Caenorhabditis elegans: one gene and its partners. Changing the gene in region 1 together with any one later gene gives a genetic interaction. Each region holds a gene or a part of one and is shown in the gene's direction. Other genes may lie near its edges.

Evidence for each region. A genetic interaction does not mean that the proteins touch.
Region 2: of daf-5 (region 1) and daf-8, changing one suppresses a phenotype caused by changing the other (phenotypic suppression), as found in Caenorhabditis elegans (one study listed by BioGRID).
Region 3: of daf-5 (region 1) and daf-7, changing one suppresses a phenotype caused by changing the other (phenotypic suppression), as found in Caenorhabditis elegans (one study listed by BioGRID).

Annotation. Positions count from the first base shown.
Region 1 is NC_003280.10:14,032,678-14,039,576, reverse strand, and holds daf-5 (Ski protein homolog), read left to right. Parts: upstream 1-1,855; 5' UTR 1,856-1,862; coding exon 1,863-2,107; intron 2,108-3,070; coding exon 3,071-3,186; intron 3,187-3,280; coding exon 3,281-3,464; intron 3,465-3,763; coding exon 3,764-4,982; intron 4,983-5,620; coding exon 5,621-5,740; 3' UTR 5,741-6,357; downstream 6,358-6,899. UniProt on the Caenorhabditis elegans protein: Probable component of transcriptional regulatory complex with SMAD protein daf-3. Required to regulate entry into a developmentally arrested larval state known as dauer, in response to harsh environmental conditions.
Region 2 is NC_003279.8:8,583,921-8,589,331, reverse strand, and holds daf-8 (Smad protein daf-8), read left to right. Parts: upstream 1-1,824; 5' UTR 1,825-1,842; coding exon 1,843-1,935; intron 1,936-2,495; coding exon 2,496-2,972; intron 2,973-3,169; coding exon 3,170-3,369; intron 3,370-3,573; coding exon 3,574-3,966; intron 3,967-4,089; coding exon 4,090-4,373; intron 4,374-4,582; coding exon 4,583-4,776; 3' UTR 4,777-4,908; downstream 4,909-5,411. UniProt on the Caenorhabditis elegans protein: Probably a receptor-regulated SMAD (R-SMAD) that is an intracellular signal transducer and transcriptional modulator activated by TGF-beta-like daf-7 signaling.
Region 3 is NC_003281.10:809,947-814,276, forward strand, and holds daf-7 (Dauer larva development regulatory growth factor daf-7), read left to right. Parts: upstream 1-1,897; 5' UTR 1,898-1,991; coding exon 1,992-2,120; intron 2,121-2,247; coding exon 2,248-2,487; intron 2,488-2,548; coding exon 2,549-2,730; intron 2,731-2,777; coding exon 2,778-3,090; intron 3,091-3,140; coding exon 3,141-3,329; 3' UTR 3,330-3,827; downstream 3,828-4,330. UniProt on the Caenorhabditis elegans protein: Under harsh environmental conditions, larvae enter a developmentally arrested state known as dauer; TGF-beta-like daf-7 acts to inhibit dauer larva formation and promote growth. May be a ligand to cell surface receptor daf-4.

The DNA of each region.
Region 1 (6,899 bases):
TACAACTGTTTCAAGTCACATCTTTCTCTGATTATTTTTTTTCCTGTATTTCCACAGACTACACTGATAACGTCTATAACGCTAATCCCTCAGTCACATCTTGTTTTTGCAGTTTTTTTTTCTTGTTATTTTCAAGCAAAATAATAATTTCAAAAACCATTAGGTGTTCAAAATTCATGTTTATGTAGGAAAAATACATCTGCATTTTGGCTTCGAAAATTCTCACGCGTTCCTCACGTATAACGCATAAGCTTCCAGTTGTTTGGCTTGATTTCTCATGAATTGTGCACAATTTTTTTTGAGTTGAACGGCTTTGGGCAGTAATATCTATAGATAATTATATGCCATTGTGTTTTTTGTGTTCTTTCAAATTTTCGCTGACGTTTGTCATGTGGCGCTGAATTTCCAAAGTTTATTTCTCGTGTCACAACTTTGAGCTAATGTATCTCTGTGGGTATGAAAGTTATCAAAAAGTTGTTTACTAACAAAATATTCAACAAAAAAGTTTGTACAATTTTTTAGTTGATCACTTTTTGTATCATCAATTCCTGCAGAGATAGGCTGCTCCAATCTTTGCACACCTGAAACTACTATGTTTCAATTTTGAGCCATCATATCTCGGTTGCTTTGTGAGCTATCAAAAAGTTGTTAACTAACAAAATATTCAGCAAATTTTTTTCTACCTTTTGCCAGTTGATTAAATTTGTGTTCCACCTATTCCTGTAGAGATAGACTGCTCCAATCTTTTTGCACTTTTTTTGAATTCTATGCTGTCTCATCTTTGAGCCACCATATCTCAATTGCTATAAATGCTATAAAAAAGTTGTCAACTAAAAAAATGTTCAGCAAATTTTTTTCTACATTTTGCCAATTTAAAACATTTTTGTATCTACGCCACCGACACAGCTATAAGCTTTTTCGCAACAACAACAACTTATTGCTCTTTGCTCCACCACCACCCCATCTTCTATCTATCTTTTCGCATATACAAACACATTTCCAACAAGACCATACGAATCAAAAGATCGTACGTAGTTCCTCCTCCCCCCTCCCACCTACTACCGCCAGCACTGTCTCACTCTTCATCTGTCCCTCTTCTTTCTCGCCCACTTGGCTTTGCGATAGGAACCCAATGTTGCAATGTCCGTCCGATTTCTTCGGGGGTCTAGACTACATACATTTGTGGTGCTACATTTTTTTACTGATTTTCTTAGAAGTTCATATTTCAATTTTCTAATTTCTGGGCTACTACCGGAAATATCTCTAGACGTCCTAGCCTCCAAATCACAATGTTTTTTCGTAACTTTCAAAAGTGTAAGATCATATGTAAATCTTGACCTATAAGACTATATCCACCTTCATCAATTCCGTCACACTTTTCGTGTTCTTCTTTGTTATTGTAGTTAATCCTAATCCTCCAAGATCTCTGATAATCTTTTTTTTTTTCCTATTTTTCATTTCGAAACTCAAAATGTTCGGGCTCTCAAGTCTGGCATAGTAAATTTTACTATATTGTGTCAATAGCGTCTGTTTGTGCTCTCGCAGCTAGTCGATGGTCAAGAGTTCAACACGAAATGGGCGGATAGCGGCGGGCACACGAGAAGCAGCAAAAAGACACGCCTTCTGGGGCGGAGCAGAGTTTCTGTCTCGCCGTCTAATTCCTCATTTAACACCTTTCACAGATTTTTGCGCCAGGCCAGCTCATCTATCCTCACACATCACATGTGATTTGTGTTCTGTGTGTCAATATGCCACATCATTGTTATTCTGATAAATATATATTTCGTCTGTACATATTTTGCATTTTCGCTGCTTCCTCCCACCCACCCTTACCTAATTCATTTCCTTATTACAGATCCTATATGTCCGACTCGCCGATCGGCTCCTCGCAGCAGGTGGAGCCGGAGCACCGAACCCCAGACCTCATGGACATTGATCCATTGATTGCGAACTTGAAGGCGTTGCATGAGGAGACGAGATCAGACGACGATGATGATGGGCAACCGTCGACGTCGGCGAAGCGGAAGGATTCTCGAGCCGATGGGATTGTGATCCATCAGAAGAAGTATAGCGATCCGGGGAGATTCTTGTGGATTTGGTTGTTGGGGTGAGCAGACTTTTACTGCTGAAAAATGGGCTTAGGCTTAGACTTAGGCTTAAGTTTGGGCCTAGGCTTCGGCTTAAGCTTAGGCTTCACTTCAGGCTTAACCTTATCCTTTAATTTAGGTTTAGTCCTATGCTAAGATTCCTACGGAATTTCAACTTTTTTTCTTTTTTGCTGACAAATAGACTTTTAGGATTAAGCTTAGGCTTAGGATTAAGCTTAGGCTTAGGCTCTGGCTTTGTCTCAAGCTTAGGCTTAGGCTTAGATTTCTGCGGAGTTTCAATCTCCTCGCTTTTTCAAAATCGCGAAACCTAGAACCAAATGTCGAGAGTCTCAAAAACCCCCTAATGAGTCACATTTAATTTCACCTGCTCGACATATATCCTCAAAAAACATTAAGCAACACAAAAAAAAGAGAGGGACTCCAAAAATCACATCTCTCCCCTTCCTCATTCTATCCCATTGCTTTTTTCTCCGCGCACTTCTTCCTTCTTACTAGTGTCTAGCCAAGGGGTCCCAAATCATTATGCATTCACATTTGAGGCGCGCGCGCCCCTCACAATGTCACATGAGGGTGAGGAGTAGCTGCAGCAGAAAAAGAAGAAAAAGAAGAAGGAGCCTGCAACATTTTGTCGGAGCTCAAAAGAGCACATCCTGTACGTACACATATTTCGCCCCGCCGCCACTTCAACCTGAGCAAAGGTCAGCGTAAAGCTTTGGGGGTGCAGCGAGAAGTCTGGGACAACAAGCCTAGTAGCGTAGTTTTATTTTCAAAAAACAATCACAAGACCAAGAAGTCAATGGCGTCATCGTCTAAAAAACAGCAAAAATATTTCCACAAAAACATGGTGCACTTCCATGTTTTCGATAGGGCAGCGTGTTCACTCTATTTTATTTTGTTATCCAGGCGACTAGTTTGACTAGTTCCGTCTAGACCTCGGAAAAAAAAATTCAAAATTCTTGCAGAGTCCGTGTCCCAGCGTTGTCCATCGATGGGGAGCCACACCTGCCGATTGAGATTCTCGATGATATGCTCACAAAGAAGGACAAGAAGGATCAGATGTCGTTTCAGAATTTGCTTCGTAAGTTTTTTTTTCTTTTAGCATGATCTCTCTCGGGAACACCAGGCACCCTCGACCCTTTTAACAGGACTTTGCTGAAAAGGTAATTTTCCAGGCTACAAAAACGTCTACATCCGAATGGCGTCGCCATCCCAGTTCCGAGCAGTCATGGAGAAGAGCAAGGAGTGCGAAAACCTCAACATCACATCGCTGAGCCTGATGAGCCGGTCGGACATTGAACGGATCATGGGCGAGCTCCGCCTGGAGAGCATGCTCACGTTGGCCGAGCACGACAACTGGTAAGTGTGGCGAGCCTAAGTTCCACTAGCATAAACACTCCTGTGAGGCCGGGGCAGCTCTCTAATTAGAAGCAAGCTCCGGACGCCGCGCTTCCTACGCATCTCTCACTCTAAATAGAGAGCCCGACAAGAAAACAATTTCTCGGCCAAAGCTCATTTTTCAAAAGAGAGAAGAGACATCATCTTTCGAGTCTCTTTGAATATCTGAATAGTTTTCGGGGTCAAAAGGCCAAAAACTCAACTAAAAAAAAGACAAAAAAAACCAGCTAGACCAACAAAACAACCAAAGCCATTTCCAGGGACATCTCCGATCGAGTTCACGTTGTGCACGTCAACTTCATCGACTACTGCAGCGAATGGTTGGAGAGCGATGACTTGGAGGAGGATGTGATGCAGAGTGGAACACACGGCTATTGGTACAAGAATCGGCGGAACATGCGATGCATCGAATGCCAGCATTGTGAGGGAAAGTTCACACCGACCGACTTCATCATGCACCATCACTATCCGATCAAGCCGAGCGGTTTTGTGCACACCGGCTGTAACAGCTTCCAGTGGATTCGGCTTATTGAAGTATTCGATAAATCCAATGAGAACCTGGAAGCCTGGAATAAATTTGTCCTGAACTCGCACAGAGCTGGCAAGCGTGAATACGATGAAGCTGCGCCGCATCAGGCGCCGCCGAAGAGACCCGCTATGGAGACACCTGTGCCGGTGGCCGCGGACAACGGCTGGGAAGCTGATGAAGAAGAGGAAGGCGAGGAGATTGTGGATAGAGATGCAGATATTGAGAAGTGCAAGTTGAGGAACAAGAAGAAGATGGAGAATCTCCATATTGCCGACTTCCTCGGACCATCTGGATCCAAAGGCCTAAAGCCTAGAAACAAATTTGAGGCAGTCATCATCGAGCAGCTTAACAAAATGGACGATGCAGCTCTCGAGGCTTTATTCCTGAAATCGCCTGAAGAATACAATTTGTGGGTGAAGGAGTCCGATTTCACACATAAAGTCGTCACGCAGCAGCAAGAATGGAAGGCAAAGATGAAGGATCCGAACTTTAAGAGTCGAGCGTCAGCGAACTTCGACGTTTCCAAAGGAGAGTTCGACAACATGCGCCACTTCGACAATGCCTCCAAAGCCACGCGACAAGAAATCCAGCAGCTCGCCGAGCAATTCGCCAATCTCGATCGCGACGCCAAACTTTTGACTCCAATGGAGTTCGTGTTAAGAGAGCACGCGTTGCTCAAGAATGTCTCGGCAGACGCGATACGTGTACTGTGTAACCGTCCGCCACTGCCGCCACTGCCGCCACCGCCACCGCCACCAAAACCAAAGCCGGCTCCGGTACAGCCGATCTCGTTGGGAAATATCAACTTTGTGGCGTTAGCCCAGCAGCTGATCGCGTCTGGGATCAAGCTTCCTCTGCCGATTGTGACACCGCCAGTGGTTTCTACGCCGGCGCCAGTGATTACGCCGATTCCTGCAGCGTTGCCGATCTCGCCGAATTCTGATTTTTTGGTAAGTATACATGGGGAGTTGAATTTTTTAGAGCTCCCGTTTAAGCACTCGTAGATCTAGAGTTGAAGAGACACAGACATTCCTCCGTAAATCGACACAAATCGGCTCTTCTTGCTCCCGCGCCCTGGGTCCCGGGACGTCTGTGTCTCTTCACACTCGCTGGACCTGTGCTGCAAACACCAACACTTTGATTTTACTCCAAAATACAGAAAAGCTGATATCTCGGCTCGTTTTAAAGATCTTAGAAAATGAGAGCTACATCACGTGGTGACATGCTGTCCCATTACGGTTTGATCTACAAAAAATGCGGGAATTTTTCGCCAAAAAAAATGTGACGTCAGCACGTTCTTAACCATGCGAATTCAGTTGGGAACTCTGCGTCTCAACTCCCGCATTTTTTGTAGATCTACGTAGATCAAACCAATATGGGACACTCTGACAGTGTATTTTTTCCAACTTTCACGACTTTAAAGAAGGGCGCATTTATTCAAAATGGTCTCGCCACGCGCTCCAAAAATCGATGGATGGCGCGTAGCGAGACCTTTAAAGTCGTAAAAGTGTAGAAAAAATACACTGCTACTAGTTTGTGATTTGCGCTTATTAATTTCTATTTTGAAATTAAATATAACTAATTCCAGAAACAACAACTCTCCACGGCCATGTCATCTCCAGCTCTTCTCTCCCTCTACCCGAAGCTCACCGCCGGTGCCTATGAGCAATTGGCCCAGTTTATCAAAACCACCACCGTCAAGAATTGATTAGATGATCTTTCTTATTCCATTATGTATTCCTTTCTCCTTCAAGCCAAACCTATCATTCCTTCATGTACAAAACACTTGTGAGAATTGTTGCACCCCACCCCGGTTATGTACATATATTGAAAATGACGCTAGTCGTATTGTTTTTAAATTCATTTTACCTCTCTGTCTGTCTCTTTCTCTCTTTCTGTCCCACATCTCTCTCGCCACTTGCCATACTATTAGGTACCTCTTTTCCCCATTTTTTTCATATTCCTATCTGTTGTTAACACCGTCCTCTCCACAACAAAATACGCACTTTAAAAAATCAATGTATCTCTACCAAATGCTGCTACTCGAAAACTTGTACCTATTTCTAATAATCTTTTCGGTTCGAAATTCCTCTTTTTAATAATCACTTCTTTTTTTCTGTTAATATATATATATATATATGCTGCCCGGTTCAATATGTATTTTGTCATTCTTGAGTAGCCAAAATCCCCCCAACTCCCCCCTTCGATTCAGGACAGTCTCCATCCCAAAGCAACAGTTACGGTATCACTGCGTTTTTTATTTTCGTCGTTTTTTCTATCTATTTGTGCAAATTGAATTTGACATTCAGTAATGAACGTATTATTTCTATTTTTTGGCACATTTTGCCGATTTGCCGGAAGTTTTTAGTTCCGGCAATTTGCCGGTTTGTCGATTTGCCGGAAATTTTCAATTCCGTCAATTTGCCGGTTTCACAATTTGCCGGAAGTTTTCAACTTTTTTTTCAAACGTTTGCAGTGCTCAGGTTAAGTTTTCAATTTCGGCAATTTGCCGGTTTGCCGACTTGTCGGAAATTTTCAATTCCGGCAGTTTGCCGGAATTTTCCGGTTTGCCGACTTGCCGAAAATTTTCAATTCCGGCAGTTTGCCAGTTTCCTAATTTGCCGGAGGTTCTCAATTCCGGAAACTTGCCGGTTTGCCGATTTGCCGGAATTTTTCAATTCCGGAAATTTGCCCGTTTGTCGATTTGCCGGAAAAAATCGTTTACCGCCCACCCCTGGTGTGTCTGCTTAAACATTAAAATAACTCATTTTTGTGTCATTTTACTAAATTATTGGGGAAAAAATCAAGTTTTGGTCAAAATTTTTCAAAAACTTTTCGCCACAAGTTAAACTTCGGACAAAGTATTT
Region 2 (5,411 bases), on another chromosome or scaffold:
TTGAAAGAGAGAAAAAACTGTTCTCGATACACGAAGAAACATGCGATATATGTTAATCATAAAACCTTCTAACTTTTTATGTCAGTTTCTATTCTCTTCTCGATTCTCTTTACTTACGAATTCTCTTTCTTCTTCTACCCTTCATCTGTTTTGCTCGTTGTGCAATTGTCAGGAGACATTTAATCCGAGTTAATCAAGAATTTTCGAAATTTATCTGAATCCGATTTTGTTTCTCTTCAAAGTCAGAAGAAATCATAAAAATAATATAAAAGAGGAAGAGGATTATACAAATTTAGAAACATTATTCATTCTTTTTAATCATGATATCTCAAAGGATGTTGTTTACTTCAACTTTTGAAAGGATTTTATAGATAAATTGTTATGATTATTTACTTGTTTTGTTTCTTCCTCCAGTATTTAATCTGTGGTCACTTCGTGGTCTTCAAGGCTTTAGGTTCAGCTCATTTTGGTTGTTTAATAGTAAGTCATATGATACGAAGATTCACAGAATGATTTGATAATAATAATAATACGAAATCTCTTTTTCTATAATATTCTCAGAATGTCATACTTCTATAGAATTTATAAATACATTATTACTGTTTTGAAAACCTTTTTTTCCTAATCTATTCGCCGTCAATTTGGCGTTCTTCTAACATTCAGTATTCGAAATCAATGTTCAAAATTTGCTTAGAGAACACCCCAAAATTAGGTTCCGTCCATATCTTGGCTTTTTTCGCCGCCAGATTCAGAAAAAAACTGATTTTCTGTGAGTTCTATTCTATTTTTTTAATTTCTTAAACAATTGGAAATGGTACAGTGTGTTATAAAATAGTTTATTTATTCTGGTTCCTCATGAGAGCACCTCAATAAAAAGTAGTGACGTACATCCATCTGAAACAAAAATAACAATATGACGCCTTCTTAGTAGTACTTATGTTAGTTTCTATTAATGGACTTTTTTTTAAAATAAAAACTCAAAATAGTCAAAGAAATTCTAAAAATGGACATTTGCTAAAATTTAAGAGAAACGATTTCAAAAGATGAAATTATACTTTCCTCCCAACTTTTTTGCTTTTGATAAATTGCTGGCCGAGTTATAACTATTTCTAGGTCACGTATCAGAAGCCGGGTGAGTCTTGAGATCTTCGTGATGCCTTGTCATATCTAAATGAACGAAACTTGAATAAATTAATTAGGAGTCATCGGCTTCATTGAGTTCAGAAAAATTCTGTATAAAACAAAATCAAGATTCAGGTAAATATCTAGATTTTCGATCATTTTGGAACCGCGTTCCTGATATCGAAAAAACTTCGAATCCATTTAAAAGTTGAATAAATCAAATGAAAACTTCCTCTCATTTTTCTTCATTTCTCTCTCTATTTTTCCTTGATTTTATAGGTGATGACGATTCTGATCAACACAAAAATCTTATCACAAACTGTTGTTTCTTATCATTTTTTACACGTTCATACCAGTTTTCATTCCGAGTTCTTGAATTTCATAATTCTTTCATTTCGCCTTTCTATGTAGATATTGAAACTCCGCCCATTTGAGTAGCTCACCTGACTCTTATGACTTACCAGAAGGTTCTATTATCATTTTGGATATAATTCTGTTTTCTGATTCAAATTTTTTTTGAATTTCGGCAATGCACAACGAAAAATATTAATTTCATATATAAAATCATCTGTACTATTTATTATTCTTTATCCCAAATCAGTCCTTTTTTGTGGTCGTTGCTTTTTAAGCTCGGCCCATTTTTTTGGATTTTATTCTAGCCTAACATCTCCTCCCATATTTTTTTTAATTCTTCGAAATTTCAGTTTTAAAACTACGAAAATGGACGATTTTCCTTCACCAGAACCTACTGATCCCAGACTTGAGGCAATGGCTCAAAAAGTGTTAGAAGAAACTATTATCACTGAAGGAGATGTATGTTTTTGAAGATTTGAAACTTTTTTTTTGAATTTTCAACACAAATAGTCTCGCTGGCTACTTTTAAAAATTAAAAAGCCATCTGCAAATTTTAAATTTCATATTCTAGGCCAGCCGGCGAGCAAGTAAGTGAACAAGAAACTTTAAAAAAGAGCAGAGTTGAGAGATACCGTATCTTGATCAAACATCAAATGTCCAGACATATTAGCGAATTTTTATTTTAAAATATTTAGAATCAACCTACATAAACATTAACTTATACGTTTTCTAATTTTAGAATGTGTCTCTCAAATTAGCCTTTTCTTTTAAAACAGGAAACAATTTTTTTTCAAAAATAGTAATACTTAAAGAAACTGAAAGGATATTTACGACAAAAGGTTTTAATGTATGTTGGAGACTCGAAAAGATCCAAAAAAAAAATAAAGAGAAAATTACAGGAAAAGAGAAAAGCCCATATCTTGTTTTTTAAATTTTGTTATAGTAAACTTTTCCTAAGAAATTCAAATCCTTAAAATTGCCCTATTTGAAGTGTCAAGCTATCCTCAACTATTTTTTAGGGAACAATCTACTGGGCTCTCAAAGTTACCCGATTACTCTCTAGAGTAGCTAAAAAACACCAGTGCTTTGAAGCTTTCTACGATGCCGTTATTAAAGGTGATCCAAAAACACGATGCTGTCCTGCACACAATGAGAAACTCATTGGAAACTTTGGACGAGCTATCATGTGTGTCTTGAGAGCATTCAGATTTCCGGTTATTCGATATGAATCTCAAGTGAAATCAATATTAACGTGTCGACATGCATTCAATTCCCATAGTCGGAATGTTTGTCTGAATCCGTATCATTATCGATGGGTTGAACTACCGACGTGCCAAGTTCCACCAATTATTGTAAATAAGGAATTGGATTACGGTGAACCTCCGATTCGGACTGAGGATGCACTGGATGATTGGAATCAAAAGGATTTGAAAGAGGAACAGGTGGTTGCAAGTTGGGATGTGCCAAATGTGACGATGAGAGGAGATGAAATTAAGGTTTGTTGAGAGATGATATCCCTTTTTGAACTCTTTCCAAAATGCAAAATCCAGTAAATAAGTTGCAATTAATCTTTTTTTTTCTTTAGAAATTTTGGAAATTTGCAAACTTACCAAAAACGTTGACTGAAATATTTGCACGTATTTCTACAAAACATCCACTGTCACCCCCTCACATTCAAAAATAAAAATTTCAGCTTCTCTATGATCGATATGCAGCTGAAAACGGAGATTTTCAATATATGAATTACGGAAATTTTGGCTCTTTTGATGGAAGTCCGTGTAGCTCTACCACGATGTCATTAGGATCATCTTTCGCATCGTTACTGCAACAAAGTAATCGACAAGACGACGAGGAACCCGGATATTATAGATCTGGACTCTCATCTCCAGCTAGGTACGAATTTCACTTTTTTGGAATTTTTTTGTTTTTACAATACTGATTCAACAATCTAAAGAACTGGCTAAACTGAAAGTAGAATTCGAAATTCGACCTAAAGGTTGAAAAAAAAATTAAATTTGGCGGTCGGGCCGACGAAACTGTTGAATATTGGAAAAAATTGAAATATTAGTTTAGATCTATAAAACTTTAAATTTACAGTCATGCAGCTTCTCCTCGAGAGTTTATTCCAAACGGAAATGATACAATAAGTCTGGATCAAGAAATGATGGATGATTCCGAAGTTAGTGACATCATGCATTCCGAGAATTTTTCATCAGAGAACAATGGAAACCGAAAGCCAACGTATGCAGATGGACGGCCTATCACACCAATTGAACCTCGACCACTCTATCGATCTTCGGCATTAGAACTTGGAGATCTGTCACGACAGGCTGGAATATATGAATGTGTAGAATATGAAGAGTCGCCGAGTTGGCTGAAATTAATTTATTATGAAGAAGGAACGATGATTGGAGAGAAAGCCGATGTAGAAGGGCATCACTGCCTGATCGATGGATTTACAGCTAGTCGCACTGACTCAGAAACCAGAAGGTTTGTATCATTGACAGAAGCCCTGGTCTAGAACTTACACGCATCTGAATTTTAACTACATTCACTAGTGTACACTGAACTAAAACATAAATTCAAGTAAATATCAAAATAACATCATTACAGCCGTTTCTCGCTTGGTTGGTACAACAATCCAAACCGCTCTCCACAAACGGCCGAAGTTCGTGGTCTCATTGGAAAGGGTGTTCGATTTTACTTGTTAGCTGGTGAAGTCTATGTAGAGAATTTGTGCAATATTCCTGTTTTTGTACAGTCAATCGGTGCAAATATGAAGAATGGTTTCCAATTGAATACTGTATCAAAGTTGCCTCCAACTGGAACTATGAAAGTTTTTGACATGAGATTATTCTCCAAACAGCTGAGAACAGCAGCTGAGAAGACATATCAAGGTGAGAGTGAATTAGTAATTTCTATTATATCATATTACTTTTCGTCCAAAGTACGGCTATTGTGCGATATATCAAAATTGTCAACTAAAAATAATTTATAAAAAGTTTTTGACATTTTTTGGTGTATAGTTTTTACCGATGCAACTTTCGGAGAATACGAATTCTCAAACCTTCTAGTCAGCTACATTTTTTTTCTTCCAACATTTCAGACGTCTACTGTCTCTCACGAATGTGCACAGTTCGTGTTTCGTTCTGCAAAGGTTGGGGAGAACACTATCGTCGTTCAACCGTCCTCCGATCGCCTGTTTGGTTTCAGGCTCATTTGAATAATCCGATGCATTGGGTCGATAGTGTACTCACTTGTATGGGAGCTCCACCACGTATATGTTCATCCAGAACTTAGCTTCTTTCTTTGCCAAAATCCTAATCTCCAATTTGCGTGTGATCAATTTTGTTGATAGAGAAAGGTTTTTATTTTACTCTAAAACATCAAAACGAGTTTTAAAATTTTTTATTTAAAAATTTAGATTTTAAACTTTTTCTGTGTATTTTTACATTGTTTTTGAGGGCTTTAGAACTGCTCGAGATTTCTTTTTGCAGCTTTTAAACGACTTATGTCAACTTTAAAAGTGTTTACAGTAGCCAAATATTCTAGAATCCTTGGAAATGTAATTTTGGTCTGATTTTTTCCGATCGAGCTTGATGGATTAAATTTAATATTATCAAAAAAAAAAACACTTTCAAAAAGCTGCCAGGATATTCACTTAAATATAAACCCCCTAAAATCCTTGGAAATCATCAAAATAGTTATCCGAGCAGTTTTACGTCCGTCGAAAGTAGTGCACAGTTACGCTTAAAATGTTTCAGATCGAAATTTTATTTATCCAGAAAGTGGCTTAGAGTTTTACAGTGATCTGTTTTCAATAAGTAATTTAGTATTTAAAAAAAGTTTCGTTTTGATATTGGAGCGTGAAATCAAAACCTTTTCTTGCGAGAGTGGAGCACTTTACTTGTGAAAGGATCGGTTGAAAGGAGGAG
Region 3 (4,330 bases), on another chromosome or scaffold:
TACGCGCGATGGTCTCGGCATTGGTCTCGCCACGCACCTCAAAAATCAATGGGTGGCGCGTGTCAAGACCGTCGCGCGTAAATACGCCCCCCTCCCCCCCTTAAAATCGTAGAAGTGAAAAAAAGCACTGTACGAAGAAAGAACAAAAAGGCCGTAAAAGCATTAAAAAACAGCGAAAACACTTATAAGACAAATAGTTTCCCTAGAATTCATAGCAAGGCTTATTTTTTTGCTAATTTAAGAACAATTAAAAATTAAATTATTTTACTAAAATTTTGAAGCACTGATAACTGTTAACTTTTAGCAACTTTATGGTTATGGAAAATTGTTTATTTTTATAAGAAATCGTTGGGTGAAGAATTTGAGATTAAGAAAGAAGAAAGTTCCATAAAAGTTTCAGTATATCCCAGCCAAAAAAATTCGTGAAAGCAATTTTTTGATTTTAAAGCTAAAGAAAAAAAAATTCAAGCTAGTAAGAATTGTCAAAATCAAATATAGCTCATTTAAAACCTCAAACGTTGCTTAAACGGGTCGATGCCCACTTTTAGATGAAGAACGTCCCCCGATGAAGAACGTCGGAATCCGGCACTTGAAGAGAAAAAGTCAAACATTTTTTTGGGTCGAAAGATCGGGGACGCCGGGGGGATCAAACCTCTTTTGCAGCGGGTCGACCACTTCGATATATTTAAAAGGCTGGCCTTACAATTAGGCCTGCAAGACCAGCTAGAAGTATTTCACGGATTTCAATAATTTCTTCTATCTTTTTGAAATTCATGTAAACACTTTTCAGATTTTTCAAATTTCAGATTTATGCCAACTCGGCAAAACGGCCTAACTTCATAGCATACTCTTGCAACTTCTTATCAACAATTAGGCATTTTAGCTTTTAAGCAAACTTTTGCAGCTTTTCAGACGACTTTTGCAATTTCTTAGCAGATGCAAAGCTAAATTTCGCTCACAATCCCGTTGGTTTTCGCAACTTCTTAACAGCTTTTTACAAAGTTATATAAATGTTTTTATTAAGTTGCAGGAGTTTGCTATGAAGTTGCGACGTTTTGCCGAGAAGTGTACCCTTTCAATTTTGAATTAGAGAATAAATTTTATTTTTAAGGAATTTACGGTGTTTTGAATGTTCTTACCTCAACAAATGTTAAACAATTGTTACATTTAATCAGAAGCTTGAATCATGTTTTATCAGACCAATTTTTTCTTTAATTATATGTTAGGCTGCTTATTGAGAAATCGAAATGTAAAAGAAACAAATCTGTAGTTTAATTTGACTAAATTCAACAAGATTTTAAGCTACTTTTAAAATGCGAACAACGACATTTTCGGCAATTTTCAAAATATTCAAAATGTTCTCAAACCATTATGTTGATAACATTAGGTTGATAATGGCAAGTGACCAGAATAAGTATTGAGTGTGTAGTAAAAAAATTCCGATCAGTCTACAATTGCAGATATTTAAAATAAGCGACTATCGGAACTTTTGGCGATTACTGAATTATCGAAAAAATCTGATACCCGAACAGCAATCGCCTTGTTAACTTAATGAAAATTGAATTAATGAGAAATTACAACTTTCAAGCAGACCTAGAATTATTCACAACGTTTTACTCCTGAAATATATTCGCACAGAATCTTTGAAAAGTACAAAAATTTGGAATAAATTTTCATGAACAGAAAACCTATTAGGGGCCAATTCCGCAAAATTTTCTGGAAGCTTCTTTTCTCTACGGTATAGATGAGTTACCACATGGATGTCCAATCGCTGCGCAGGCCACGCCCCTCTGAGATCTCAATATGGATATGAGAGCCCGCCTCATTATGGGCGGAGTTCAGAAGAATGGGATAAAAGGGGGGAATTCAGTAGTTTAAGCCCTCATTCAAAGTTTTTCTTTGGAAAAAACAACAACTTGTTCAAAGCTTTTTTATTTCTACATCTTCAACTTTTTTTCGACTGCCCGGTTCAGCCCGCTTGAAGTTCAGCCATGTTCATGGCATCTTCACTCCCGGTGTTTATCTTCCTTCTTTCCCTCCCACATGGTTTGACGTTCAACTGCACCAACTCAGGTGTTTGTATTGAAAAGATGAAGCAGCACCGAACAGAGTACCTTAAGGTGAGCATTATTTGATCCTGTAAGATCATTCAAGCTTATCCGGATTTGACGAAACTTTACTAGTCCACTAGTTTGTTTGATCACTGTGATTGTGTCTTACTTTAATGTTTCATTTTACATTCTTTAGAACGAAATTCTCGACCAGCTGAACATGAAAGAGGCACCAAAGGGATTGAAGCCAATGGACCCAGAAATGAAGTCAGTCTACCTGGAGATGTATAGGGACTTACTGGAGAAGGACGAGCAGGATATGGGCGTTGAAATGTCATTCTACACCGCCAAAGATCCAAGTTATGGAGAGAACCCGTCGCAGCTTGTTGCCAAGTTTGACGTCACAAATGATTTGGAAAGAAGCGATATTCTTCAGGTATCGTTTGGTTTTTTTTTAAAAAGAATCCTTTTATTAAATTTCAATTATCAAATTTCAGGCCACACTCACAGTATCAATTGAGATTCCTGCAAAGGATTCAGGGATGCTTCAAGATGTTCAAGTTCAAGTTTACGAGAAGAACGAGGATGGATCAATGGGAGAGATGGTCACTTCTGGAATTTTCGCTACAAAGGGATCCGAACGTATCAGCATTCAACTTCCAATTGATACTGTCAAAAGGTATGACGAGCAAACAAATTGCAGGCGACTAATTTTAAATATTCCAGTTGGTTCACAATTTCTCCGATCCAAGGTATCTTCGTCAAGGCAATGCTCGACGGGCGCAACGTTGCCCTTCATCCCCAACAGACCACTGCTGACGTTGACAACATGCGTCTTCAGCTCTCCACTCGTCCAAAGGGGTCCCGCAAACGCCGTTCTCATGCCAAACCGGTTTGCAATGCCGAAGCACAGTCCAAGGGGTGCTGCTTGTATGACCTCGAAATCGAATTCGAAAAGATCGGATGGGACTGGATCGTGGCCCCACCACGTTACAATGCCTACATGTGCCGCGGGGATTGCCACTATAACGCACACCACGTACGTTTCTTGTTGTCTCATAACGTTTCCAAAATGAAAAAATATTTCAGTTCAACTTGGCGGAAACCGGACACAGCAAGATCATGCGCGCAGCTCACAAAGTCTCCAATCCTGAGATCGGATACTGCTGCCATCCAACCGAGTACGACTACATCAAGCTGATCTATGTCAACCGCGACGGACGCGTCTCAATCGCCAATGTCAACGGAATGATCGCCAAGAAATGCGGTTGCTCATAAATTCCACTTCCGATTGTCACAAATGTTAAGTAGTCACCGATTTGTTTCTTCTTAATGAATCAAAATTCATGATTTCAACCCCGTAGTCACATATCCTCTCCTTAGTTGTAGATCCTTCCCTCCATCCCGTTCATCCTCAAATCACGAGGAGCTTCTCTTCTGTCGGTCTCCTTTCCCTCGATCTCATCCCAGAATGCTCGCCGAAATAATTATTTCCGAATCGTGTGTTCACCATTCACCATCCATCTGATATATCCTTTGTCAGCTCTCTCTTTTCGTACCTCGGATCCTTCCACTACCTCCTTCGACAAATGTTGTTCCCCTCCCGAAAGCAACAATGTGATAGGCAACGACTCCTTCTCCCATTTTTATGTGTGTCTGTGCGTGCGTAGTTGTGTTTTCTGAGATTCAATTTCAACAAACCACGCACTTTTTCATCATCATTGACAAGAATATGTTATAAAACACTGTGATTGAGGAATAAATTATTGAGTGCTGTTACACATTTTCTTTAGAGTTTTAAACTCTAAAAATGGCCACCAGAGGCGCCTCGAGCTTAATTTTTTACTTAAAAATTAAGAAAAAATGGGCAAAATACTTGCAAAAAACGTTCTGCAGCATTTTATATAGTTTTCTGAGAAATTGCTTGAACGGTAACAATGAGCTTTAAAGTTCTCATATTTACCACGGTTGTACGATTTAACAAAAATCTCCATACACTTGGTGTCAGGTCTGGACAGTTCTGTTGCCACTTTGCTAAACAAGACAACTGTTTTCATTGAATTTCATTCCTACAAATACGACAGTAAAGTTTATATTTCCCTGTTCTCTAGAACATGACATTAGAAACCATTCCCAACAATCGTTTGAAAAAGTTGCATTAGCAAGGAGAAGAATTTAATGTAAAGAGACAAGTAGATAAGGATCTTAAGTTGTTCGTTTAGTTCGTTTTTTCGGTGAATGATAGAATGAATACAAAAAGGTATTGAACTGTTCCGAAA